3 linked regions of the Canis lupus familiaris genome follow. The protein of the gene in region 2 interacts with the protein of the main gene of each other region in a pairwise test. Links are inferred from orthologs where the notes say so. Each region holds a gene or a part of one and is shown on either strand. Other genes may lie near its edges. The genes, in order: TCF19, DNAJA3 and FAM214B.

Region 1 (3,949 bases), on a different chromosome or scaffold from region 2:
AGAGCAGAGGGCCACCTTCCAGCCCAGGGCACTAAAAAAGAATAAAAAAGGAATTAAAATTGAGAAAGTTCTCTCCACTTACCCAGCAGGTGTCTGTGGGGTTGTCTCTACACGGAGTTTCTTTCTGGGCTCCATAAAGACTGGGGGAGCCTCAGGAATCTCTCCCTCATCATCCAGCTCTGCCAACACTCGGTGAGCTGATTTCCTCCGATTTCTTGGGGGTGGGTCAGAAGGGGTACTCCCCACCTCCCTAGGAGGAGTGGGAACAGGCAGTTTCTGTGGCCCACCCCCACTCCGGGAAAAGGTGAGGGGAAGGGGTCTGAGCTTGCTGAGACTACCGATGGAATTGAGGATCAACGTGGCTTTCGGGGAAGGGGAAAGGGTGCTGAGGGGGCGCTTTGGGGCCCCTTGTGGGGGCAGCATAGGCTGGAAGCCAGTCCCAGTTCCCTCTTCACCACTAGACCTCGGGATGGTAATGGCCGCAAAATCTTGAGGTTTGACTCGGACTTGTTGAAACATGAAGTAGAACTCTGAAGGGCTGGTTCCTGGGGGCCCTTCAGGGCCAAAAGTCACAAGGTCTCCATCACTCAACTCCAGCCTGTGACCCCTTGGGAGTCGGACATTATTGACCAGAGTCCCTGTTGATGGCAGGGCACCAGACAGATACAGAGAATGACAAAAACAGAAATGACCAGAGTCAGGAGAGGAGAAATCTGGCCTCCTTCGCTTTTCTGGGGAACATGAGGGAGGAGAACATGACACTTGTCATCAACTTCTCAACACCTGAAGTCCCTCGGCAGGTGACACCAGATATTAAGCTCCTAGTGAGTTGAGAACAAGTTTATTTTTTATGCCGTCCCACAAGGCATATGGAAGGAATGGACTCCTTCCCTCACTCTGCTGAGGTGCCATCCTCAGACATGTTTCTCACCCAGCTCTAACACAAAAACAGTTAATGGCATACCATGGACTGTCTGGGTTGAGATCTTGGCTCTATCTTACCAGCTATGTCACCTGAAAATTAAGCTATGCTTAATGTTTGTTGTCTGTAAAATGGGGACTGTATTAGTGTTCACCGACATTCGATGCGCTTAGAACAGTACCTGGTGCCCACAGTAAGCACTAAATGAATGTTGGCTCCTATAGTTAACCTAATCTCCCCAACACTCCTGAAACCGACCTTACAAAGCCTTACATTATACCTATGAGGAACTCGAGACCCAGAGACGTGAAGGGACAGCAGCAAAGCCCAGGCCTTCTGAGGTTGACTACAAATGCCTGCCAGTCAAGGAGCAAGACCTATGCCCTGATCATTCAAACATAATGCAACATATAACCGCCTTCAGACAAAAACAAGGTGCCTCAACAAATTTGGAAACTGAGTCATCTGAGTTTGGCTCCCAAGGCCCCAGATCATCCCCACTATGATACTTCCCTGATGATGGCAGGCCCTGCATCTACCTCCCAGCCCCTGTTTAGATGCTTCCAGCTAGGCAGCGACCATTGGGGGCCAGTCCCACAGAGAGCTTCTGACACTGCACACCTTGAGTGGGAAGATGCAGGTCAAGACAACTGTCCATCCAATCTGATAGGGCGTTTGGGAGGCAGGCAGGGTCCCTGTGAAGCCCCTTGATCATTCCAGCCCAGAACTGCAATTGCCCAGGTGCAAGGCTGCCCTGCTTGCTGCTCACCTTGGCTGCTATGGTCCTCCAGGCTGACCCTCCAGTCATCACCCCGGCGCTCAGCGTGCAGCTCCGCATGGACTCCAGAGATGAGGCCAGGCTCCCTCTGGGGCTGCAGGGCCACATCACACAGGTCGGCCCTACAGCCCAAGCGATAAGTGCAGCCAGCCCCGTTAGGGGGGTGGAAGGTGTAGAGATCACCACCCCTGCCTCCTCCTATGCGCAGGAGCTGGAAGCAGGGCAGCATGGGTGGTGCCCTCTCTGCACCACTTCTTCCACTTCAGGAGTCTATCACCTGTCCCACACCAGAGCCATGCACGCTGCCCTAAGTTCACTTTCTGTCTGATGCAAATTTGAGCTGTGCTTTGTGCTTTTTTTCAACTTTGAGCACAGGCTTGAATTTGTACCAGGGATCAGTGGTAAAACTCAGAGGAGAACCCAGGCCTGAGTAGTGCAACTTCAGAGTGCAGGGCGCCTAGGCACGGGATACAAACAAAACTGTCAAGCAGCTTTGCAACCGAAGAATTCGGGGAAGGTCCCAGTGCAGCGCAGAGAGGAACACGTCCTGTGGCACCTTGGTGGAGCCGGATCCTCAGGCTGCCCCAGGTATTCAGGAGACTCAATCTGTGCAAGGCAACAACACATTAGGCGCCTCCCAGGGAAATGCAGTCTGTAGATGGGTGTATGGGATTCCTGCTCTGTACCACACTACCTTGTCACCTCTGTAATTTGTAGAAAAGAAGCTTCCTATCAGACTTGCTTATCCAAATCGAGTAACCGTCCTGCTCGCCCGCGCCGCCTCGCCCTTCAGGCCAATCCCTCTCACAACCAGTTCCCTTTAACCCCAGCGGGAGGCGAATCCACTGTCCCCCAACAGACAGTGAAGACGGTCCCTCGGTTCTCCAGCAAAGCGAAGCTAAGCCCCGGCTTCCCGGCTTCTCCGGGCGCGGCGCAAAGGGGAAGGGGCTCCCGCGGTCAGGCAGGGCCGCCCCAGGCCTTCCCTCCCGTGCCCGGCCTGGTGCCCACCTACCGCGAGCAGCCTCCACGTGCCGTCCCCCGCAGGCAGTGCCCGAGCTCGCGCGCGGCCGCCGGGTGACAGCGGGGAGGCCGGGGGGGGGGGGGGGGGCGTGGCCTCCGCGCGCGGGCAGCGCCTGGCCCGCCTTCCGAGTTCCCGGGCCCGAGCTCGGAGCGACGAGCCCCCACCGGCCCTCCTGGTTGGCCGCTTCCGTTGCCCCCCGCCGCTCCATTGGCCGGCGCTCTGGAGAGCTCCGATTTCCCGCCTTCCGCCTCTCCTGATTAGTTCTCCTGTTTTCCCGGGTTCCCGGAGTTGGGAGGGGCCGCGGGCGCGCGGAGGCGTCCCCCACGGCCTGGGGCCTGGGGCCTGGGGCCTGGGGCCTGGGGCCTGGCTTTAGACCCCACTGCGCCTGCGTGCCCTTCCCCTCCCCCCCTCCCCCGGCGGCCCGCCGAGCCGCCCGCTCTGCGCAGGCGCGGTGGCCGCGCCCGGGGCGAGGGCCAGGGGTGGTGGCTGGAGGGCGGAGGGCGGAGGGCCTCGCGCTCGGTAAGGGGCGTTCGGGAAGAGTCGGTTGGGGGGCGGGAAGGGGCCGACAGGGGGTTCGGGGTGGGCTCAGGGGTCCATAGGGGAAGAGGGGCACAGGGACCAGGGGAAGGAGCAGATGAAGTGGTCCCAACGGCCTTAGAGCCCCGGGTCCAGCAGGGGAAGGCTCGGGTATCGGGGGAGACGCGGGAGTGGAAAGAGCTGGGAGCCTGCAGGCGTGCAGTTGGGAGGGGATGCGGCCGTGAGGGACCAGAGTAACGCTTTCAGGAAGGAGCAGATGAGGCTGTAGGGAGGGTGATAGGAATCCCAGGCAGGGAGACTAGGTGCGTTCTGGTGGGAGGGTAGGGAGACCTTGAAAAGACCTCTCGTGTTCTGGACCCCGGAGAGAGGACGGTAGGCGGCAGGAATGGCAGCTGAGGGCATAGAAGAGGGAAACTGAGGACAGCGGCCGGAAGGCTCTGGATGAGATGTCAGGAAATTGTTTTTTCGGCCAAGGGGTCTAGGCTGCCTGTTCCCAGGGGACCTGGGCAGGTGTCCTGCCCTACATGTGGCCACATTCATCTGGGCCCAGGCCTTGGGCCAGTGCTTTAATAGGGAAGGACCCAGGAGTCATGGCTTGGTGGTGTCTGGATGGGCTTCCAGAAGGCCTTGCTGAGCCATGGAGAAAACTCTGGAGATTGGGCTCACAGCCCCTGCACTGCGTACCTCCTTT
Region 2 (10,784 bases):
CTCCTTGTTCTGTAGGGAACTGCTCTCATGGCAGATGTCATTCAAGCCTGGGAATATCTGGGTCACACATCCCACACCCCCTTCGAATTGTCCTATACTCTCAAGGGGAGGGAAGAAAATGCTACAACTAGAGAAATAGCTGCTTTTTATTTCCTCTGAAAAGACTGGCTCAGGACCTTTGTCTTCCCTGGAAGGGATCTTCACTCACTTGCGGAGAGGAACAGATATCACATTGGGTACCATAGACTTGGCTAGTCCCCTGTGGCTTGGATGGTCAGTGTCTGCAGGAAATCATGGACTAGACCATACTTAAAACTCCCTACTAGGGGTGCCTGGCTGGCTCAGTCTGAAGAGCATGCGACTCTTGACCTTGGGATCAGGAGTTTCATCCCCACGTTGAGTGTTGAGATTGCTTAAATAAAGAAATAAACTTAAAAACAAAATACAACCAAACTTCCCTACTAGCTCTCACTGACCTCACTGCCTCAGGAGACAGGGAAAGGGACTAGAGGAACAGCAAAATGACAAGTGTGGGGCGGGGTTGGGGAGAAGCTTGTGAGCCTTGTGTGCCTTTGCAAAACATATTTGTTTCTCCTTAAAGCTAAAGTTTTTGGCTTTAGACTGGAGAAGGGGGAGAGTGGGTGATGGACACATGAGGCATTCCGCCTTGGGGGGAGAATATAGGTAGATGTGGCCCAGGTGCTCATCCCAGTTTTTGGCAACAAGCCTGGGATGAGTCATTTTGTGTCCTGTCACAGCTGAAGTCCTTGAGGCAGTGAAATATTCTGTAGGTGGAGTGGTAATAGATACTTGCCCTGCCTCCCTTTTTTTTTTTTTTTTTTTTTTTGTGAGAAGCAGAGGAGATTCAGCATGAGAAAGTATTTTGTAAATTGGTAAGGCCTGTCTGACTAGGACTTACTGATCACAATGACATGGAGGTGCATGGTTTAAAGGGAAGGGCTGTGGGTTTTGTTAGGGGGTCTTGGCTCACTCACACACTAGCTCTGTGACTCTGGATGAGTTTTTTTTATCTTCCAGAGTTTATTTAATTGTGTGTAGGGGGTGTGGGGAGAAAGGAGTCCATTTGTAAATACAGGAATAGCCTTTGCCTTACCTTGCACAATTATGATCAAAATAGAAAATATGGCAAAGCTCTTTGTGAACTGGAAAGAGAATGTTCTTAACACAGTGGGCTTTTTCAGATCTCTCCATAGCCACTAAGTGCCTGAAATTGGTCCCACAGACATATCAAGCATGATAAGTCCAAACTACAAGTCATCATCCTTCGCCCTTAAACAACTTCTTCCCTGGGTTTTTCAGCTTGGCGTTAGGGAAATATAAATAAGCTTATTCATTGTCCTTCAACCAACTATCCAATAAAGGCAATTCAGGTACCATGGACCAAGGACCTCTGTCGTGAAGATTTCCAGAGCTTTGTAGCTTACCTATGTTTCCTAACTGTATCATCTCCTGCTTCCCTGTAGTGACCAGCAGTGAAAGGGATCTTGCATAGGCCGAGGCTGCTCTCATCAGAGAGTCTTTCTGGTGGTTTCCCCAAAATCCATCTTTCTCTCCTTCAGTAGCCACCGGCACCCACTCCATTTCCTGGGGAGTTCTCTGCTTTCTGAGATGGAACACAGGCTCTCCAGCAATCAGCCTTCCTGCTATCCCCTAAAACAAGTACACACACCCCATTTCAGTGTGGATTTTTTTTTTATTTGTGATAGTCACACACACACACAGAGAGAGAGAGAGAGAGAGGCAGAGACGCAGGCAGAGGGAAAAGCAGGCTCCATGCACCAGGAGCCCTACGTGGGATTCGATCCTGGGTCTCCAGGATCGCGCCCTGGGCCAAAGGCAGGCGCCAAACTGCTACGCCACCCAGGGATCCCTCAGTGTGGATTTTTACTGTTAATCACTATGGGGAAATGGATGGGGGGAAAACTAAAATACCAAAAATATGAGGAAGTTACAAAACTGACCAAGTTTTCATATTAGTGAGCCCTCCATTAGTTCCTAACTCACTCTAAGGTGGTAAATGAAAGTCCCTTTGCCTCTTGTCGACATTTATTCCTGAGAGTTGTACTTCTCATCCAGCACCCTCCCCCACTCCTACCCCTTGGGCTCCCTGTGGGCAAGTAACTATGCCTGAGTTCTGCTTGGTATCCTCGGTGCTTAGCACAGGGCCTGGCACATAGGACAACATTTGTTGATGACTTACTATGTGCCAAATACCGCATGGAGCCTTTGCATGGATTATCTCATTCTTTCTTTAGATGATTCCTTTGAGGGAGTTACCATTCTGTCCCTGTTTTAGAGAAAGGAAACCAAGGCAGAGAGAGGTAAAGTCAGTTGCCCAAGGACACACAGCTGTAAGTGGCAAGGCTGGGATTCAATCCCAGGAGATCTGATTCCAGGGCCCATACTCTTAATCATGATGCTGAAGACATTTAAATATTAAACATATTAAGTAAACTCTTTTCTCCACTTCCCATGTCATGACATCTCTGCCTTGTTTCTCTAAAAGGCCTCAGCTCTAGGTTCACTAGCCCAAACTCTCAACTACTCCTTACACTTAACAGCCTTGAATTTTTTTCACTATATTAGTGGTTTTTATCTTTCATTTTGTTTTATTTTTATATTTTTTAAGATTTTATTTATTTATTCATGAGGGACACACAGAGAGAGACAGAGACATATGCACAGGGAGAAGCAGGTCCCCTACGGGGAGCCTGATATGGGACTCGATCCCAGGACCCTGAGACTGCAACCGGAACTGAAGGCAGACGCTCAACCACTGAGCCACCCAGGTGCCCCTTCATTTTATTATTTATTTTTTTAAGGTTTTATTTATTTATTCATGAGAGAGAGAGAGAGAGGCAGGCAGAGACACAGGCAGAAGGAGAAGCAGGCTCCATGCCAGGAGCCCAACGTGGGACCGATCCTGGGACTCCAGGATTGCACCCTGGGCCAAAGCCAGGCACCAAACCGCTGAGCCACCCAGGGATCCCCCATTTTATTTTATTTTATTTTAATATTTTTATTTATTTATGATAGTCACACACACACACACACAGAGAGAGAGAGAGAGAGAGGCAGAGACACAGGCAGAGGGAGAAGCAGGCTCCATGCACCGGGAGCCCGACGTGGGATTCGATCCCGGGTCTCCAAGATCTCACCCTGGGCCAAAGGCAGGCACCAAACCTCTGCGCCATCCAGGGATCCCTCCCCATTTTATTTTTTAAAAAGATTTTATTTATTCATTAAAGAGAGAGAGGGAGAGAGAGAGACAAGGAGTGGGGGGCGAGGGAGAAGCTGACTGCCCCACTGAGCACAGAGCCCAACCAGGGGCTCCATTCCATGTGCCCCAGACCAGTGGTTTTTAAAACTTCTTTGAATCTCAGTGAAGAATTTGATCAATGAAAGCTATGGCTCTTTACCCAGATTAACATCCACATCCACAAGAATTTGGGTACAACGGGCAGAAGGGGCAAGGAGCACACATCATCTTAAACCCATGGTGAACCCTCAAGCTCCCTTCTTACCATGTGGGGGTGGCATTCCCGTGTGTGTGTGTGTGTGTGTGTGTGAGAGAGAGAGAGAGAGAGAGAGAGAGAGAGAGAGAAATTCCTTTACCAGGCTTACTAGGCGAGGTGTATCTGTCTAGCCTCATCTCCAGTCACACCCCCTAAGTTTAGGGCTTAAACAAACCGGAGAAGGACTTTCACACCTCTAAGACAGCTGCTTTTTTTTTTTTTTTTTAAGATTTTATTTATTTATTCATGAGAGACACAGAAAGAGGCAGAGACACAGGAAGAGGGAGAACCAGGCTCCCTGCAGGGAGCGGAGGTAGAACTCGATCCCAGGACTCCAGGATCAGGCCCTGGGCTGAAGGCAGACCCTTAACTGCTGAGCCACCCAGGGATCCCCTGCTTTTTTTTTTTTTTTTTTTAATAAAGATTTTATTTACTTATTCATGAAAGACACAGAGAGAAGTAGAGACAAGTGCAGAGGGAGAAGCAGGCTCCCTGCGGGGAGCCCGATGGGGGACTCGATCCCAGGACCCCGGGGTCACGCCCTGAGCCGAAGGCAGACGCCAACCACTGAGCCAGCCACCCAGGTGCCCCAAACATCTACTTTTTAAGTTCCTGCTTCTGGGAATCCTCCGCCTCTCCACCCGCACCTGACGCACTTGTCCTCAAAGTCCACTTAGAATGTTACCTCTCGGATGCCTTCCCTGACACCCCAGCCCCTCAATTTGTCACCTCCGTGACCCTGACACTGTTCACACCTCCGACAGCACCGATCGTGTTATGTTAGCTGCTGCGGAGCCCGTGTCTCTCGATTCGGCGTTTGCTCCCCGCCCCCGAGCAGGGACGGCACGTCATTCATCGTTGTAGCCCGAAGAGTCTAGAAAAACGCGCATGACAGCAGGTGCTCGCAACATTTATTACACCCATTTGTGACTGGTAAGTTCATTACAGGTCTGGAGGAGACTAACACGCTTAGGACAGAACCGAATGATCGAAGTCCGCCCCATGAGGAACCAGCCAGAGAGAAAGCGAGCTTGAGGCCAGGCTTTGGAAGTAGGGCAGAGGCCCCGCGGGCTGGCGCTGACACAAGACGAGCAACCCTCAGGCGGGATGCTGAGCGTCGGGTCGGGTTGAAAGGAGACGCGCACTGCATGTTGGGATCGGCGCGACGGACGGCCGCGTTGCACGCCGGGATTTTTGTAGTCCCGCCCTTCGCCGGGACCCTCCGAATAGTCACATCTGGCTACCCTCGACCACGTCTTTACACAGATAAGGTACACTCTTGGCCATCCAGCACAGAATGACGGGGTTTTTCAGGGTCACTGTACCTAGTTGCACTCCTCAGAGCAAACCTCATTTCAGCGTTGGCAAGCAGAAAGGACCATTGAGCGCTGCTGCGCGTGCGCAACCCGTGCGTCCGCGCGTGTGCTTGCACCGGGCTCCGCCTCCGGAAGCCCGAAGCTTCGTCCGCGCGATGTTCTCGCGAGGCCTCCTTGAGCCGGGTGGCGCAGGCGCAGTGGCCCTGGGCCAAGATGGCGGCGTGGTGCTCCTCACGCTGGTTGTTGGTAGCCGTGGGGATTCCGCGGCTGCCAGTTGCAGCGGGGAGAGGAGCCCGGCCGTCTAGGGGGGGCGTGGTGGGGGCTTCGCTGGGCCACAAGCTGAACGTCAGTACCTCCGCGCCTTCCCTGGGAGGTCGGGGCTCCGGGGCACTGCTGACATTGACACCCGGTGTCAGCTTCAAAGGTGAGAGCAGGTTCCGGCGCCCGAGAGGGGCTCTGAGGCCCGGAAGGGGGTGGGCTCGGTCCCGCTGCGGGGGTGGCGGGGTGGAGGGTGGCTTCTGACCTGTATGCGGAATTGCTTGGAGAGACTGGCAAGCAGGAGGCAGAGGCCCAAATGGCTTCTCAGAAGTGAAGCGGGGAGAGCTGCTTGGAGCCCCCGGCGCCGGGAGAGGAACGCTCCGTACGCGCGCCGCCTTCACTTCTCTCTAACATTTCTAGAAGTTTCTTCTGGGCCGCCACTGCTCCGTTACCCTATTCGATTCCCGTCTCCTCCCTTCACCTTCTGGCCGGAAGGGAAGAGGTACCTGCCATTCGGTGAGCACCTGCTGTAGTGCTCGGCACTTGGTGCCTCGTTTCACTTGACTGTAACAGTCCTGCAGGAAGGGCGGCGTCATTCTCATATTAGGGAACGGGCAGCCGACGTCCTGTAGCTAGATGAGAACCGTCATCCCAGACCCAAGCTGTCCTTTAATAGCTCATACTCCTTCTGCCGCATGATTTTAACTGAAGGGCACTCGTAACGGTCTTTTCTAAGACCTTATGTTGGCGGTTGTAATAAAAATGCAGGCTGACATTTACTGAGCACTTTCCACGCACCAGGCTTGGATCATTTCCATGCGATAGACATTGTTCCACTCCGTTGTATAGGTAAAGAAACTAAGCCTAGATGTTAAACAGCTTGTAGAGTGACCGAGCAGGAAGATGGAGCCGTGATTCAAGTCCCGGCTCTCTGGACTGCTGGAGGCGATACTGAATTTTGGTCCATCTTAAACCTCTAAGTGTTTAGCGTTGATGGTTCTGTTCTGTGTGGGATGACTTCCATTATAGTAAGAGAAGGAAGGAGGAAACATTGAATAACCAGCCATGTGTCTGGATTATGTTACTGATTATGTTTCCGTAGAATTTGTGCAAATAATATTAAAGCTATCGATGAACTTCTTTTTTTTTTTTAAGATTTTATTTATTTATTCATGAGAGAGAGAGAGAGAGAGAGAGAGGCAGAGACACAGGCAGAGGGAGAAGCAGGCTCCATGCAGGGAGCCCGATGTGGGACTCGATCCTGGGACTCCAAGATCACGCCCTGGGCCAAAAGCAGGCGCCAAACCACTGAGCCGCCCAGGGGTCCAACTCATTTTTTTTTTAAGATTATTTTTTATTTATTCATGAGCGACACACAGAGGCAGAGGGAGAAGCAAGCTCCATGCAGGGAGCCCGACGTGGGACTCGATCCTGGGACTCTAGGATCACACCCTGGGCTGCAGGCGGCGCTAAACGGTTGAGCCACCCAGGCTGCCCACTGTCTATGAATTTATAAAGGAAATTGCCTGGTGGGGTCCAACTTTGTAATGCTTGCCTAAGAGGCAGTCATTAAAGTATCAGTAATCTTTATTACTTTGTAAAGTGAACAGACTGGCCTCCTCCACTGGAGCGTGTGTATATGAGAATTGGGAGAGATCTGAGAGAGGTATTTAATCCCTTTGAGCCTCTCTTAACTGTGAAAAGTGGTTCAATGACTAATAGGTGTTTATTGAGTGCCTTTCATACGCTAGCCACTTGTTCTAGGTACTGGGAATTTAGCAGAGGACAAAGAGATTGGATGAGGTTTTGGTCAAGTGATCCCATTTATTTATTCTGTTCCTGCCACCAATATTTAGTCACAGATGGAGCAGTAGTGGACTCAGATTTCCTTGGAGCAGCTTCACACTGTATTTCTCAGTATGAGCAAAAGTGGTCGTTTTTGAGTTCTGCTAACAGTTTTTTGTTTGTTTGTTTGTTTTCCTAACAGTTTCTAATGTCAGGGTTGTTTTAGATGGAGTTTGGCTGCATCGTTCTGTTCAGTTGTCCTTTAGGTAATTATTAAGCTAATTCTGTTCACATTACCTTTGTACAAGTTTGGGGAGCATTTTTGTTGATTGTGTATATATGAGAGGGACAGGCGCTATGTACTGAGCCTTCATGGAGCCATTACTAAGGACTTGTGGTCAGCACGTTGCTCATGATGAGCATGTTTTGTATCACATGATGAACATATGTGAGAGTTGGCATCCTTCAAGATGCACTCTGTTATCATATCTAAAATCATCAACTCAGCTCTCAAACATTGGTTTTTGATCTCCTCTCAAATCTGGTGGTACAATTAGGTGACATAAAAATAGCACTTTAAATATAGCTTTTCTCCCAGGGCAGAAAAAAGGTTGTTATTTGGTACTGGGTCGGTCATTCTTGGAACAACTTGGTGGCTGATCCTATTCTTGGTTGTTCCAATAAAGGCAAGGCATTTATTGATCATACCTTGGAGAAACATTTGTCTATCAAGTGAACTCTATTTTAATCATTGATGCCTTTTGGATAATGTCAAAAGTCATCAGACTTGTAGTAGTTAAATGTGATTTGTCTTTATTCGCATGCAGTTTTGCACAGTACTGTCCCATTCTTGCATCCCAAGTTCTCTGCCTGTGTCCTTGGAGCTGTAGCTGCCAGAGCCTTTGCCACTACTAGTCTCTGCCTTCTGGATTGGAAGGAGCGAGAGAAAAGGAAAGGCTGGACAGGACCAGGACAGCTCCTCACACCTGAGAGAAGAGGGGCTGAGTACAGGAGCACTAGGAAACTAGCTCTTGTTTTTCTCAGATCTGACCAAAGAAAGACAGCTGTGGTCTCCTAACCCCCACTACTTCCACAGTCTACTTTTCATGCTCCAGCAACAGGGTGCAGCAACAGAAAACGAGTATGGGGATGCTGAAAATACAGATTTGCTCGCTGGTTCTGATTTCAGTCATTCTTGCTTCATTCCTACACATTCTCCTGTCTTACTATCTTTTTTTTTTTTTTTTTTTAAGATTTTAAAAATGTATTTGACAGAGAGAGAAAGCACAAGCAGGGATAGTGGCAGGCAGAGGAAGAGGGAGAAGCAGGCTCCTGCAGGGTTTCATCCCAGGACCCTTGAGCCAAAGACAGAAGCTTAACTGACTGAGCCACCCAGGTGCCCCTCCTGGCTGATTATCTTGCCCCTTTTCTGGTTGGCCTCAACACCCCTGGTTGTGTTTTGTGTTCAGATTAATTTTAAGTGGTCTCTCAGGCCTCTTGTTTGTTGTTGTTGAGAGTGCTTTCTCATGCAAGGCTGATCAATTCCCTGTTTAACACTTGCAGTGTCTCCCTGTTGTCTTCAGGATAAAATCCTGAGTCCTTCCCATAGCTCAGAGGCCCTTCAGTTTATTTCTAGGCCTCATTAATCAGCAGCATCATTATGTCTAAACCACCCCTCTCTACTTGTGTAGAATCTCGTTATATGGCCCAGTTAACTAAATGCACGAGGACTTTATGTAAGCCAAAGGTGATACATGATTTAGCAGCCAAATGAGGCACTTTTGAACATGAAAGGGGAAGCAATTGCAAATGTCAGGACTGTAGGTGTGATTCCAGGTGGATTCAAATCTTTCCTTAGCCTGGTTAATTTCTACACTTAAATAGCAGTTAAAAGACCTTTCCTGAACTTTTTCAATTGGATCGTCAATAATTCTCAACTGAGGATGATTTTACCACCCTCACCCCCCACAGGACATTTGGCAATGTCTGAAGTCATTTTTAATTGCCAGTGTGTGGCAGGGTAGAGGGGGAGTAGAGTATACTACTTCTAAGTAGTTGGCCAGGATGCTGCCTAACATCCTTTGACATATGGGTATTTTAGTTGGCCAGTGATGCCATAACAAAGAACCACATTTATCTTCACAGTTCTATTTTTTTAAAATTTTTATTTATTTACGATAGTCACAGAGAGAGAAAGAGAGAGAGGCAGAGACATAGTCAGAGGGAGAAGCAGGCTCCATGCACCGGGAGCCCTACGCGGGATTCGATGCCGGGTCTCCAGGATCGCGCCCTGGGCCAAAGGCTGCGCCACCCAGGGATCCCTATCTTCACAGTTCTAAAGGCTGTAAGTCTAAGGTCAATGTTTTGGCAGAGTTGTGATTAAAGATCTTATTTACAATTATAATCACATTCTGAGGCACTGGGGATTAGGGCTTCAACATATGAATGGGGACACAACATATGAAGAGGACACAATTAGCTTATAACCCTAGAAAAGCCCCTCCACTGGGAGGAATCCCACTGTCAACAATTTGGGTTTAAGAAACCCTGATTAGGTGATTCTGTGTATGTGACTCTGCATGTCCTTGTGTACTAATACCTCTTTGCACACTGCCTCCGACACACCCCTGCAGGACTGTAAACTCCTTGAGAGTGCTGGCTTTGGCTTTTTTTCTTCATCTTGTATCTTCAGTGCCTACTACAATGTTAAGATCTTAAATATATGTAAGCTCCAGGAGGGCAGTGCCTTTGAATGGTCTGCTGCCTATTCCCAGCCCAGAACCCAGTGCCTGGCAAGTAGTAGATACTCAGTGAGTAATTGCTGAATGAATGAATGGTGAATCCATAAGCTGCTTCTCTGTAGGCAGAAGTTTGACTTAGTAATTGGGAGCTGGGGACGCCTGGGTGGCTCAGCAGTTGAGCGTCTGCCTTTGGCTCGGGTGTGATCTGGGGGTTCTGGGATCAAGTCCCACATTGGGCTCCCTGCATGGAGCCTGCTGCTCCCTCTGTCTGCATCTCTGCCTCTCTCTGTGTGTCTCTCATGAATAAATAAATAAAATCTTTAAAAAAAAGAAAACGAAAAGAAAAGAAACCGGGAGCTGCCATGACTCTGCCTTAACTTGGCTCCCTTCCCCTCCCCCAGCCCTGCCTTCCCTGTCTTCCCTTGTCACAGGATGGGTTGGGGGTTAGACAGGGCTCAAGGTGTGGGGTGGCTCCCTCTGCTTCACTTGGTGACAGACCAGTCCAAGTTGATTCTCTACCACATGCACAGTGAGCTGTTGAGTGGGACAGAGTGTTCTGATGGCGGTTCCTCCTGGCGCTGATACCAGCATGTGGTTGCCTGCCTTGGGCTTTGACCTGTTAGCTGTTCTGGGGTAAACAGGTTCAGGCATAGGGCCTTTTAACCCCTTGTGTCTGTTTAGGTGTATTATTTTAAGGAGAGGAGCAGCACTTTTATCGGATTCCCTTAGATCTGTGACTTTAAATGCTAAAAATAATTTCTTTAGTACAGTGGTTCTCAAATTGACCATGTGATGAGCAGAATCATCACCTGGAGGGCTTATTAAACATAGCCCACTGGAGTTTCTGATTCAGGTCTGGGGTGGGGCCTGAAGGTGGACATTTCCAACAAGCTGGTGGTGCTGCTGGTCCACTCTGAGAACCACCCCAGAAGCAAATCCCCAACTTTGCATGGTGGAGGGCAAGAACCTAGGGAATTGCATTAAGGGAGAAAGCATATGAAGACAGCTGGCACATGGCAGGTGCTTGTGTAATGTAACAGTGGGACTAGGTTCCTTTTTAATCATCCCCCAGCTAAAGCCTCCATCTGGGGTGCTGTTCCTTTGGTGGTGTAATGAGGGTACAACCTCATTGTATTGTGATCCAGCAG
Region 3 (10,755 bases), on a different chromosome or scaffold from region 2:
AGGTGGAAGTAGGGGGCACGGAGAAAGTTAGAGTAGCACCTGGGAGGCTCTCCTATACCAAGTTCCCATCATTGCACCCCACACTACCCTATTTCACCAAGTTCTCATTAGAAGTGAGACCCCTAAGAAAATTCTGGTTCCCTCAGGTGGGTGGGGTGTCTGGAAAGGGCAGAACTCCAATGACAGCATTTTCAGAGATACAACCTGTATTCATCTCTACCCCTCCTTTCCTCTACCCAAGCCATACAGATTCAGAAAGGGCCTTTTCCTTAGCACTCCACCCCCTGGTCATCCAAGTTGCCCTCTTGAGCCCTTGCCCTGGGGAAGCCAGGTGATGATATGATGCCTCTTGACCCTAGCATGCCTGGCATCTGTTCATTACCCCGCGGCCCTCTCAGTTCCTGCCTTGTCAATTGGAAGCTCTAAGACTCACTTCCCTGCTACCCAGTCTGTCTGGCTCTAGACCATGGCTTCAAGCTGACTCACGGGGCAGGACTGTGGAGAAGGGGGGGCAGGGTAAGCTAAACCTCATTCCCTGTGCAGGGGATGGGCAGCAGCTGGCGTCAAACAGCTGTGCCAGGCTGTGGCTGGCAAGGACTACAGTTCCCAAAATGCCCAGGGAGCAAGGCCAGCAAAAACAACAAGTCCCAGAATACCATGGGTTCTGTACCTCAGACACCTGCTAGGCCTGGGAGGTGGGGTAGGTGGGTGTTGGTATAAGTACAAGCTTCCAGGTTCACTCTCCCCTTCCTTTCAGTATTAAAGATACCATTTCTACACTGATCAAGGAGGGTGACAGGAAGGAGAATTCCTCTCCATGTGCTTTCCACCCTCATCCTGTTCAGAGAGAACTGCCAGCTGCTCCGCAGTTTGTCCCTAAACATGTCCACACAAGCTAGGGGGGCTACTCCATTGGACCAACACTGTGGGTAGGAAGGTCAAACTCTGCACTCTCACCAACCCCTTGACCGCTGGCCTAAAACCCTCTATCCTCAATGGAGAGAGAGCAGATGTCAGCACCTTCTCCAAACTGAGCCAGGCAGACTCACCCCTTCCCCTGGACTCCTGGTTCTGGACGATTCCCCCACCCCCTACTTAGTCTCCCAGGTCCATTCTCACCCCTCACCTCCCCAGAGCCTGGGACAGGCCCCATTCCCTCCTGGAGCTTCGGAGATTTGCTCTTTCCCCCTAGCACACTCACCCCGCTCTTAAATTGGCTCCGCCGCGGCGGCCGCTGCTCCGGGCCCTTCCGTCCCGTCCCGGTCCCTCCCCTCGAATCTCGGGTCCTCCCCACCACGGGCCCCCAACCCAGACAAAGGGTGGCTCAGACAGAGCCCTGCTTTGCTAGGCTGTTCTCTGTTCAGCTTCGTGTGCAACACTAGCGGGCTCTGGAGCCCGCAGCCCCCCAGCCACTGCCGCACCCCTCCCCGCGACTGTCCCTCCCCGTGGCCGCCCCGGCTCCGCGCTGCCGACTCCGCTGCCCCTCTGACTCACAGGCCATTTCCTACCAGCTGATGGGGCCGCCCGCCCCGCCCAATGCCCCTACACCCCCGCCGCGGCGCCCGCGGCCGCCACGCCCCCCTAAGACCACACCCTCCGTGGGCGGCGGTCATGCTGATTGGCCCCTAGGAGTCCAGCCTCTCCACGACCTCAAGTGTGAGGCACGCCCCTTCCAAGAGACGCAGGCCCATTGGTCCACAAGGGGGCAGGCCTACCCGGGGATGACCCCGCCCATCTTCTTAACCCCTCATCTGCCGGAATCCCAAGGAGCTCCCAGCCCTGCCTTTTAACCCTTTCAAAGGCGTAGGCCTCCCGCTTCTCATCTCCGCCCTTCCTCTTCCGACGGTGTTTAATAGGACGCCCTAGGGCTTTCATAGACACAATTCCGACAATCTCCAAAGTCAGCCTGCTCTTCCCACACCAAACCCCAAATATCCCCACTCCCATTTCTCTCTCCTTTCCTTGCAGACCAGAGTTTCAGAGACCAGAGGACTGTTGAAGTCTAGAAAGCTTCCTTCATACCACAGCAGGTGAAATAGTCCAGAAGTGGGATCTTATCTCCTTCCATTGAGAAACATATTCTTCCTTTTCTTCCTCTATATTGATGTTCTTTTGTCTTCAATAGAGGGGCCCCAAAGGACTCCTGAGATAGGGACATATTTTAGTTCAGGGACCTAAACATCTTTTGTGTCTCAGAACTACCATCCTGAGATCAGGCTGCTTCATCCCTTCTACCAGTACTCTCTCTTCATATGAGACCAAGGATCCAGGGGAAGTGGGATACAAAGGCTTCTACCATTAGTGGGGGAGATGTGCCCAACTCTTGCGAGGGAGCTCACTCCCATGACTCACAGCTCCCTCGAAACTCTCCACCCTCCCCCTGAGTCACTGTGCTCCAGGCTCAGGCCAGAACCAGCCAAATTAAGTGGCAGCAGAATCAGTGATCCTAATTATTGTCCTCCTATTCTTTAAACGACCAGGATGGAAACTTCTGCAAGGATGAGGCATTAAAAGACACTTTTTTAGAGGGGCTGCTTTAGGGGCAAGCTAAGAAAAATAGGTATCCCTAATCAGCTTCTAAACTTAGGAAGCTTTTTCTGTCAGTCATCCCCAGAAGCAAGCAAATACCAGAGTCAAAAGAGAGAAGACTGAGGGCACCAGGCTGGCTTAGTCAGTGGAGGGTGCAACTCTTGATCTTGGGGTTGTGAGTTCAAACCCCAGGTTGGATGTAGGGATTACTTAAAAATAAAATTTTGAAACAGCAACAACAGCCACCACCACAACAACAAAAAAACAAAGAGGGACAACTCAAAATGATGCCTGGAGAACTGGCATTAGCCAGGGTTAGGCTCCCTGGTTGTGTCTCCAGAAGAGGGGGAGTTCCATTTTTCCATAGTTCAGAGCCTACAGAAGAAGGCCCAAGGTCCTTGTTTCTACCTTGCCTTTGCTGTAGGCCCCAAGGGCCCTTATGTTATCAGTGGACAGTAAAGAAAAGGTTCCCTTCCCCGTACTTCCTCCTTGTACCCTAGACTTAGGAAGATAAGTAAGTAACCCTTCCCCTAGGCTCCCTTCTCCTCACCTTAGACCAGGAGAAAAACCCTGAAAAAGAACCCAGTTGCCCTGGATTGACTTCTTCATTGGTTCCCTGAGGCAAAAGAATAGGATTCAGGAAATTTTCAAAATCCTGAACAAAATTGCAGAGTACCAAAATAAGAACCTACTTCCCTTAGTAAAAGCTTACTGGGAAGACAAATAGACACAGAGTACTATTGGAAATTAATAGTCCTTTGGTGACACCACAGAACAGGCAGTAAGTTCTGTTTTACTGCCATTAATATAGGCCCAGGCCTCAGTTACTTGCAAAGGTCAGAGGGGCAATAGTTCAGTGGGAAGGATCAAAGATGTTCTAGGCCACCGTGTACCCTTGGAAAGCAGCATAGTACAGTCAAGAGCCTTAATTAGCTGCTCCAAACTCTTAACCCAGCTTTATTTTTTTTTCATAGCAGTTATCACCACTTGGCCTCTCTCTGCCTCTGTCTCTCTCTCTGTCATCATAAACATACACACTTCTTTCTCCTCCTATTAAAATGGAAGCTCTATGAGAGCAGCAGTGTTGTTTTGTTCATGGTGGTATTCCATGCCTGGCACATAATAGGTGCTCAATAAACACTGGCTGAAAGAAATGATGAGCCCTGGGCTGAGTGAACAGCATTCGGAAGACCTGGGTCCTAATTCCTGCTCTTTCACTGTGAGACTTAGAGAAAGTCAGAGTTCCTTTGGCTGTAAATTTTCAACTCTGTAAGATGAGGTGTTGTATTAGATGATGGCCACTGAGGGCCTCTGCAACTCTGGCCTTATATTGCTATGATTCTAATGGCTATTGTTCACTCAAATCCATTTTCAGAGGATGGACCCAAATGTCTGAATGCCCTCCTGCTTGTATTGAAGCAGAGAGGCAATATACTCAGCCTCAGCACAGCAAACTGATGCCCTTTCTCCTCACGCCCCACCCACTCACACAAATGCCTCAATCCTGAGGAAGCTGGAGTGTTTGCCCTAGGCCCGCCTCTCTGAGAGACAGTCTGGGAAGCTGTGTTGCCATAGCAATCAGCTCCTCCTCAAAAGGCTTCAGCCTGCCCTCCCTTACCCCACCCTACCCCACGGCTTTGTCTGGCTTCAGTACCCCCTCCCTCCCCAGCCAGTCACAGCTAGAAGGAGGTTGGCTAGGGGCCCCTTTCAGTAACACTGTCACACTCATCCAGCCACTGTGTGGAAGGCAGGCCTTTTCCACCCTCTCCTAGCCAGCCCAGGGGCAAACAGAACTTTGGCACTACATCAAGGCCCCTCAGGGAACCCAAGGAACTCCCTAGAGGACTAGGCCCTAGTCTCGGATTCTGACCATCAGTTTCCAAGCCAGGAATGTGGGGAGCCATTCTCTCTTCCTCTTCCAGCTGAGGCTGGAACCTCCTATCCTTTCTGGAGTTCAGCCTGCCATAGTAGCCCATGTCTCAAAACATACATCAAAGACTCAGTAATTTTCACCCTTCCCACAGAAGCCCATTTTTTAGGGTCCTAGGGTTCCCCATCCAAGAGAATGAAAAGGGTAGGGAAAATAAGTTTATGCCAAGTGGCAAAAAAGTAGCAGTCACTTGTGGGGGCTGTTAGGAGAGATCTTGGTAGTAGTGGGTGAGGTCTGGGCCTTACTGCTGGTAACTAGGGTCTGTGGCCATTGAGCACAAAGTTCCGGGCAGGGCACAGGCAGGGCACAGCTCCTAGACGGGCAAGTCCCAGGCCAGGCCCCAGGGCGAGGAAGGAAGTGGGAAATGAGCACACCCAGAGTATAGGGCAGGGCAAAGTGGGGGAGGGGAAAGACAGGGACCAAGGCTGGCTTCTGGGAGGAACAGGAACTAGAGTGGGGGTTAACAGGAACACCAGCTGGGGGAAGAAACTCTAGTCTCAGCCAGACATATCCAAAGCCGACTGAGGGGATAGTCACAGAAGACCTAGTAGCAAGTGGGGCCTGGATCCTCCCTCAGAGTCCTCAAGCCTGAAGGTGAAATTAGGTGCCAAAGAGCCAGGAGCACTACGGACTGGCTTTACTCCACCAATTCCATCATGCCATTTCTAGAACACAGAACACAAGCCCCTCCCTGGAGTCTCTACAAAGCCCCAAGACTTTCTCAAAGGACTAGGGTTCTTCCGCCCTCAATTGGGGCCTACAACCCCTTTCCCTCACACAGTGCCCAAAACCCCATCCTTTCTTTCTGTACATAATCCTTGTGTCCCTCCGTCTCTCCCACACTCTGGACCACCAACTCTTCTCCATCATACAGCGCCTGCTTCCCCCCAAGCAACTTCAGATCCCCTCCCCCTCAAGTATAGCCAGCCTCCAACCCTCCACGTCAGACAGCGACCTCGCCCCCTCACACTGTACCTCCAACCTCTGCAAAGCACTCCTGTGTCTCCCCCACAAGAGCCCCTGGAGAATGCACCTGCTTACCCACACGCTTGAGCCCCCAAGACCTCCTCCAACTCTGTGTCTTCCTCCCCACCCCCAGCAATCCTCAGATTCTCTCCTTCTCTAACGTGCCCCCACCTTCTTGTTTGCCCAAGCGCACCCCCATCCTTGTCCCTCTTCCACGCGCACCCCACCCCACACCTGTAGTTCCGTGAGTCCCGTTGCACCTGAGGAGGTAGTGGGTTGGGGCAGTTACAGAGAGGCCCTAGCAGCAGCCTCGGCCTGCAAACCTCACCCCTTCTGTCCGAGCGCCGCCCCCGCAACGCCCAGGCCCACCCCCTCCCTTGTCCCACCTCCCACCTTCTCGGGGTTCGTCCCCCTTCCTAGTTTCTTTAATGCCTCTGGCTCCTCCCCTGTGACACAGGCCCCGCCCCCATGGCTCCGCCCCTTCTCGTCTTCTCTGCGTCCCCCCAGGAACATCCGCTTGTCCCTAGCCCCTTCCCTGCTCCCCGCCCCCTTCTGGTCTCTCCGCCTTTCGCTAGGACCCGCCCCTCGGATTCCAGCCTGGCAGATCCCAGGACCTGGCCCTCTTCCACCGCGAGCCAGGGTCGGGCTCAGAGACTCACCCACCCCCGCCCCTTCTCCCGCTCGCCTCACCCGGGCGCCTGTGCTCCAGCCCGGATCCGCTGGCTCTGATTGGCGGCTGCGGCCCCAATGGATGGCGGAGGAGACAAAGTGATGGCTGCAGGTCGCCTGAGGTCCCACCCCGGCCACGTGCGGCTTCTGTGATGACAGGTCTAGAGGGCGGGGCCTTGGTCCGCCGGGTGCGGGCCTAGGCTGACCGGATCGGGCTTGGGGTGAGGGAGCCCGAGCTGGCATCAAAGCGCTAGCCTGAGGGCACCGAGCCTGACTGGGGCTCTCCCGGGCTTTCCGGCTAGTGTGAGCTGCCTGCGGAACTCGAGCCTTTCTATGGAAACGTCTGGGTTAGCGCATGCATTTGCCCTAATGGGGGAGGGCTGTGGGGTTTGCAAGGTAGTGCGAGGACTCGCAGGGGTCTGTGAAGATGCGACAATCTGGTTGTTAGGGTCTCAAGTCTGTGAGGTCGAGCAAATGTCTGCAGCCTACGCTGTGCAGGAGAATCTGAGTTCTGGGAGATGGGCAATGACAGCCAGATCTCTACCTTTGGAAGGTGGGTCAGTAAGGAATTCTGTGAATTTTAGGAGCGTACGTGTTAATACAGAGGTAGAAGAGCCTGCAATCGCCGGAGAGAAGTAGGGCCTTTGCTTTGTACAAATGTCAAGTGAACTCTGTGACAGTTACAAATGTTCTGTAATTTAATTAGCGCTTGAGTCTTCTCTCCGATTTACACTCGCCGCACGATTTCCCGAGATACCGCAGGGAAAGTCAGCGCTCACCAGCTACCTGTAGATGGCAGCACAGGACCCTTGCAGAACTGAAGGGCTTTGAGTCCAGGGTCTATGGGGCCTCTCCGTGGAGCTGGTGATATAGATTGTGGATCAAACCTGATAAAGTTCTCTGAAAGTCTCAGATTCTTTAGGTTTCTGGGACTTTTTTTTTTCGGTAAGTAGTTAACTTAAGCTGGTTTACTGAACACCAGTGATATTCAAAGAAAAAAAAAAGTTTTTCTCTATCCTCAAGGAACTTGTTTAAGTTGTCAGACAAATAGCTTGATAATCCTACAAAGAGTAAAGGTGGAAGGGTTTGGAGTAGTGGAAAAAGCATAGGCCTCTGAACTTTGGGTGTTGGATATTTACTAGCTGTATGAATTTGGCTAAATTACTTGACTTTAAATGATACATATCATTAACTAAAGTCCATACCTTGCTGATATTTCCTTAGTTTTTCCTTACGCCATTTTTCTGTTCCAGCATCCCATCCAGGATAGCACATTGCATTTAGTTGTCATGTCTCCTTAAACTTGTCTTGGCTGTAACATTTTTTCAGATTTCCTTGTTTTCAATGGCATTGATGGTTTTACCATAGGATGTTTTACAGAATATCTTTCAGTAGGATTTGTCTGATTGATTAGACTGGGGTTATGGGTTTTGGGAAGGAAGACTCATGAGTTAAAGTGCCAGCTTCTTTCTTTCTTTTCTTTCTTTCTGTATCTCTTTCGTTCCTTTAAAAATATTTTATTTATTTATTTCAGAGAGAGTGAACAAGTGAGAGAGAACATGAGCTGGGAGGACAGAGGGAGAAGGAGAAGCAGATTCCCTGCTGAGCAGGGAGCTGTTGGGTCACAGGGCTGGATCCTGGAACTTGGATCCTGGCGTTCCAGGATCATGACCTGAGGCGATAGTAGGCGCTTAACCAACTGAGCCACCCAGGTGCTCAAAGTGCCAGTTTTATCACATCATATCAACCTATGTGTGTGTGTATGTAGTATATTTATATATACAATATTGGTATTGGTATTCATATTAATATGAATAATATTCATATTACAATGGCTCTTAAACATTCTCTGAGTATTCTCCAAGATTTAAAAAAATGTCTTTATGAGGGGCTCAGTTGGTAGAGCATATTAACTCTTGATCTCAGGGTCAGGAGTTCAAGCCCAATGTTGGGTATAAAGCTCATATAAAAAATAAAATTAAATTAAAGGAAATAAATAAAAAAATTCTTTATGAAATATGTTAGGCATAGAGAAAGTTATAAAGAATACTATAACAAACACCCACATTCTTTTCACACAGCTTTATCAAATATTAATATTTTACCACATTTGCTTTAAATTCTCAAGAAAATTAATATTTCAGATAAGTTGAGCTTTTATATACTCCTTCCTAATCTCATTCCATTCTCTTCTTTGCTCCTCATCTTCTCTTTCCAGCAGTAACCACTATTCCAAATTGGTATTTATTTTTCCTCTACATTAAAAAAAATAAATTTATTGACTGATGTACATGTATTTTTATTGGATATATACTTAGAAGTACTGAGTAATAGGGCATGTATATGTTCAGCTTCAATAGATACTGCCAAAATTTTTTCCAAAGAGATTGTAGCAACAGTTCACGGTGCTACAATATATGTGAAGTCTAGTTTCTCTACTTTCTTGCTAACTCTTGAGGTTGTCAGTCTTCTTAATTTCAGCTATTCTAGTGTATATGCAGAAGTATCTCACTGTGGCCTTAGTTTGCATTTCCTTGATATCTAGTAAATTTGGGCACCTTTCCATATGCCTACTGGTTACCATTCGTGATTTGCCTGGTCAAGTCCTTGGCCCATTTTTCTTTTTTCTTTTTTTAAAGATTTTATTTATTTATTCATGAGAGACACAGAGAGAGAGAGAGGCAGAGACACAGGCCGAGGGAGAAGCAGGCTCCATGCAGGGAGCCCCACGCGGGGCTCAATCCCAGGTCTCCAGGATCACGCCCTGGGTGGAAGACAGGCACTAAACCGCTGAGCCACCCAGGGATTCCCTTGGCCCATTTTTATATTTGGTTGTCTGTCTTTTTTCTATTTGTAAGAGCTCCTTGTATATTCTGTATATGATTATTTTGTTAGAGAAATCTATTGCAAATAACTTTTCCCATTCTGTAGCTTTCTTTATTTTCTAAGTAGTGTTTTTCAATGAACAGAAGTTCTTAACTTTATTTTTAAAAATTATTTATTTATTTGAGAAAGAGAGAGAGAGAGCACGAGCAGGGGGGAAGGTCAGAGGAAGAGGGAGAAACAGACATCCTGCTGAGCAGGGAGCCTGATGTGGGGCTTGATCCCAGGACCCTGAGATCATGACCTGAGGGGAAGCCAGATGCTTAACCAACTAAGTCACCTAGGTGGTCTGAGAAGTTCTTAACTTTAATATAGTCCAATTTATTTCATTGTTTGTGGATAATGACTTTATTTTATACCTATTTAAGAAGTCTTTGCCTATCCCAAGTTAATGAATATATTCTCTTATGTCATTGTCTAGAACCTTTATTATTTTACCTTTTATAACTCATCTACAATAGATTTTGTGTATGGTGTGAGGTAGGAGTCAAGATTCATTTTTTTCCCCATATGGTTATGGAACTGATCCAACACTTTTTGTTAAAAAACATCATCAAAGTACAACTTTCAAAAAGTTAAAAGCAAGATTCTAATAAGGATATGGAATGAGGGATACCTGGGTGGCTCAGCGGTTGAGTGACTGCCTGCGGTCCAGGGCGTGATCCCGGGGTCTGGGATCGAATCTCCAGAAAGAGCCTGCTTCTCCCTCTGCCTATGTCTCTCATGAATAAATAAATAAAATCTTAAAAAAAAATTATATGGAATGAATGCATGACAAATTCATTTAACTCATTACTGAAGGAATAAGGAAGATGATAAAGCATGTTTGATGAGCGTTCAAGGAAATTTTTTTTAATTTAATTTAATTTAATTTTTTTATTGGAGTTCAATTTGCCAACATATAGCATAACACCCAGTGCTCATCCCATCAAGTGCCCCCCTCAGTGCCGGTCACCCAGTCACTCCCACCCCCCGCCCACCTCCCTTTCCACCACCCCTTGTTCATTTCCCAGAGTAAGGAGTCTCTCATGTTCTGTCTCCCTCTCTGATATTTCCCACTCATTTTTTCTCCTTTCCCCTTTATTCCCTTTCACTATTTTTTATATTCCCCAAATGAATGAGACCATATAATGTTTGTCCTTCTCCGATTGACTTACTTCACTCAGCATAATACCCTCCAGTTCCATCCACGTTGAAGGAAATGGTGGGTATTTGTCATTTCTAATGGCTGAGTAATATTCCATTGTATACATAAACCACATCTTCTTTATCCATTCATCTTTCAATGGACACCAAGGCTCCTAAGGAAATTAGGTATTGTATTAGAGTTATGGTGGGGGGGGCAATATGTTTATATGTATGCATATATATGCACATATATATACATAACCATACACATATGTGCATATATATGCATACACACATACATAGAGATGGAGAGATTTTATTATAAGGAATTAGCTTACAGGATTATGGAGGCTAACAAGTCCCAAGATCTTTAAGGCTGGCAAACTAGAGACCTAGAAGAGGTGATGGTATAGTTCCAGTCCCAATCCAAAGGCCTGATAAAAAGCTGACAGTATGATTGTAGTCTGAAAGCCAGCAGGTTGAAGACCCAGGAAGAGCTGATGTTTGACTCTAAAGGCAAGATAAAGGACCAATGTCCCAATTGAAACAACTGGCCGGTCAGAGAGAAATGTTTTCTCTCTCTGTTTTTTAGAGATTTTTAAGTAATTTAAGCCAACATAGAGCTCAAACCCATAGCCCTGAGATCAAGT

Evidence for each region.
Region 1: the proteins of DNAJA3 (region 2) and TCF19 interact in a two-hybrid assay, tested with the Homo sapiens proteins (2 studies listed by BioGRID and IntAct). The two-hybrid records come from large-scale screens. The link is inferred for Canis lupus familiaris from reciprocal best matches to the Homo sapiens genes DNAJA3 and TCF19.
Region 3: the proteins of DNAJA3 (region 2) and FAM214B interact in binary tests that used the Homo sapiens proteins (3 or more experiments, as listed by UniProt). The link is inferred for Canis lupus familiaris from reciprocal best matches to the Homo sapiens genes DNAJA3 and ATOSB.

Annotation. Positions count from the first base shown.
Region 1 is NC_049233.1:993,637-997,585, reverse strand, and holds the start of TCF19 (transcription factor 19), read right to left. Parts: upstream 2,801-3,949; 5' UTR 2,713-2,800; intron 2,307-2,712; 5' UTR 1,930-2,306; coding exon 1,692-1,929; intron 639-1,691; coding exon 83-638; intron 1-82. Other genes in the region: CCHCR1 (coiled-coil alpha-helical rod protein 1), read left to right, coding at 3,783-3,949. UniProt on the Homo sapiens protein: Potential transcription factor that may play a role in the regulation of genes involved in cell cycle G1/S transition. May bind to regulatory elements of genes, including the promoter of the transcription factor FOXO1.
Region 2 is NC_049227.1:37,254,924-37,265,707, reverse strand, and holds the start of DNAJA3 (dnaJ homolog subfamily A member 3, mitochondrial), read left to right. Parts: upstream 1-5,028; 5' UTR 5,029-5,065; coding exon 5,066-5,276; intron 5,277-10,784. UniProt on the Homo sapiens protein: Modulates apoptotic signal transduction or effector structures within the mitochondrial matrix. Affect cytochrome C release from the mitochondria and caspase 3 activation, but not caspase 8 activation.
Region 3 is NC_049232.1:51,982,566-51,993,320, forward strand, and holds the start of FAM214B (protein FAM214B), read right to left. Parts: upstream 6,267-10,755; 5' UTR 6,116-6,266; intron 5,843-6,115; exon of another isoform or gene 5,819-5,842; intron 5,683-5,818; exon of another isoform or gene 5,658-5,682; intron 1,552-5,657; exon of another isoform or gene 1,495-1,551; intron 1,436-1,494; exon of another isoform or gene 1,202-1,435; intron 1-1,201. UniProt on the Homo sapiens protein: Transcription regulator that may syncronize transcriptional and translational programs.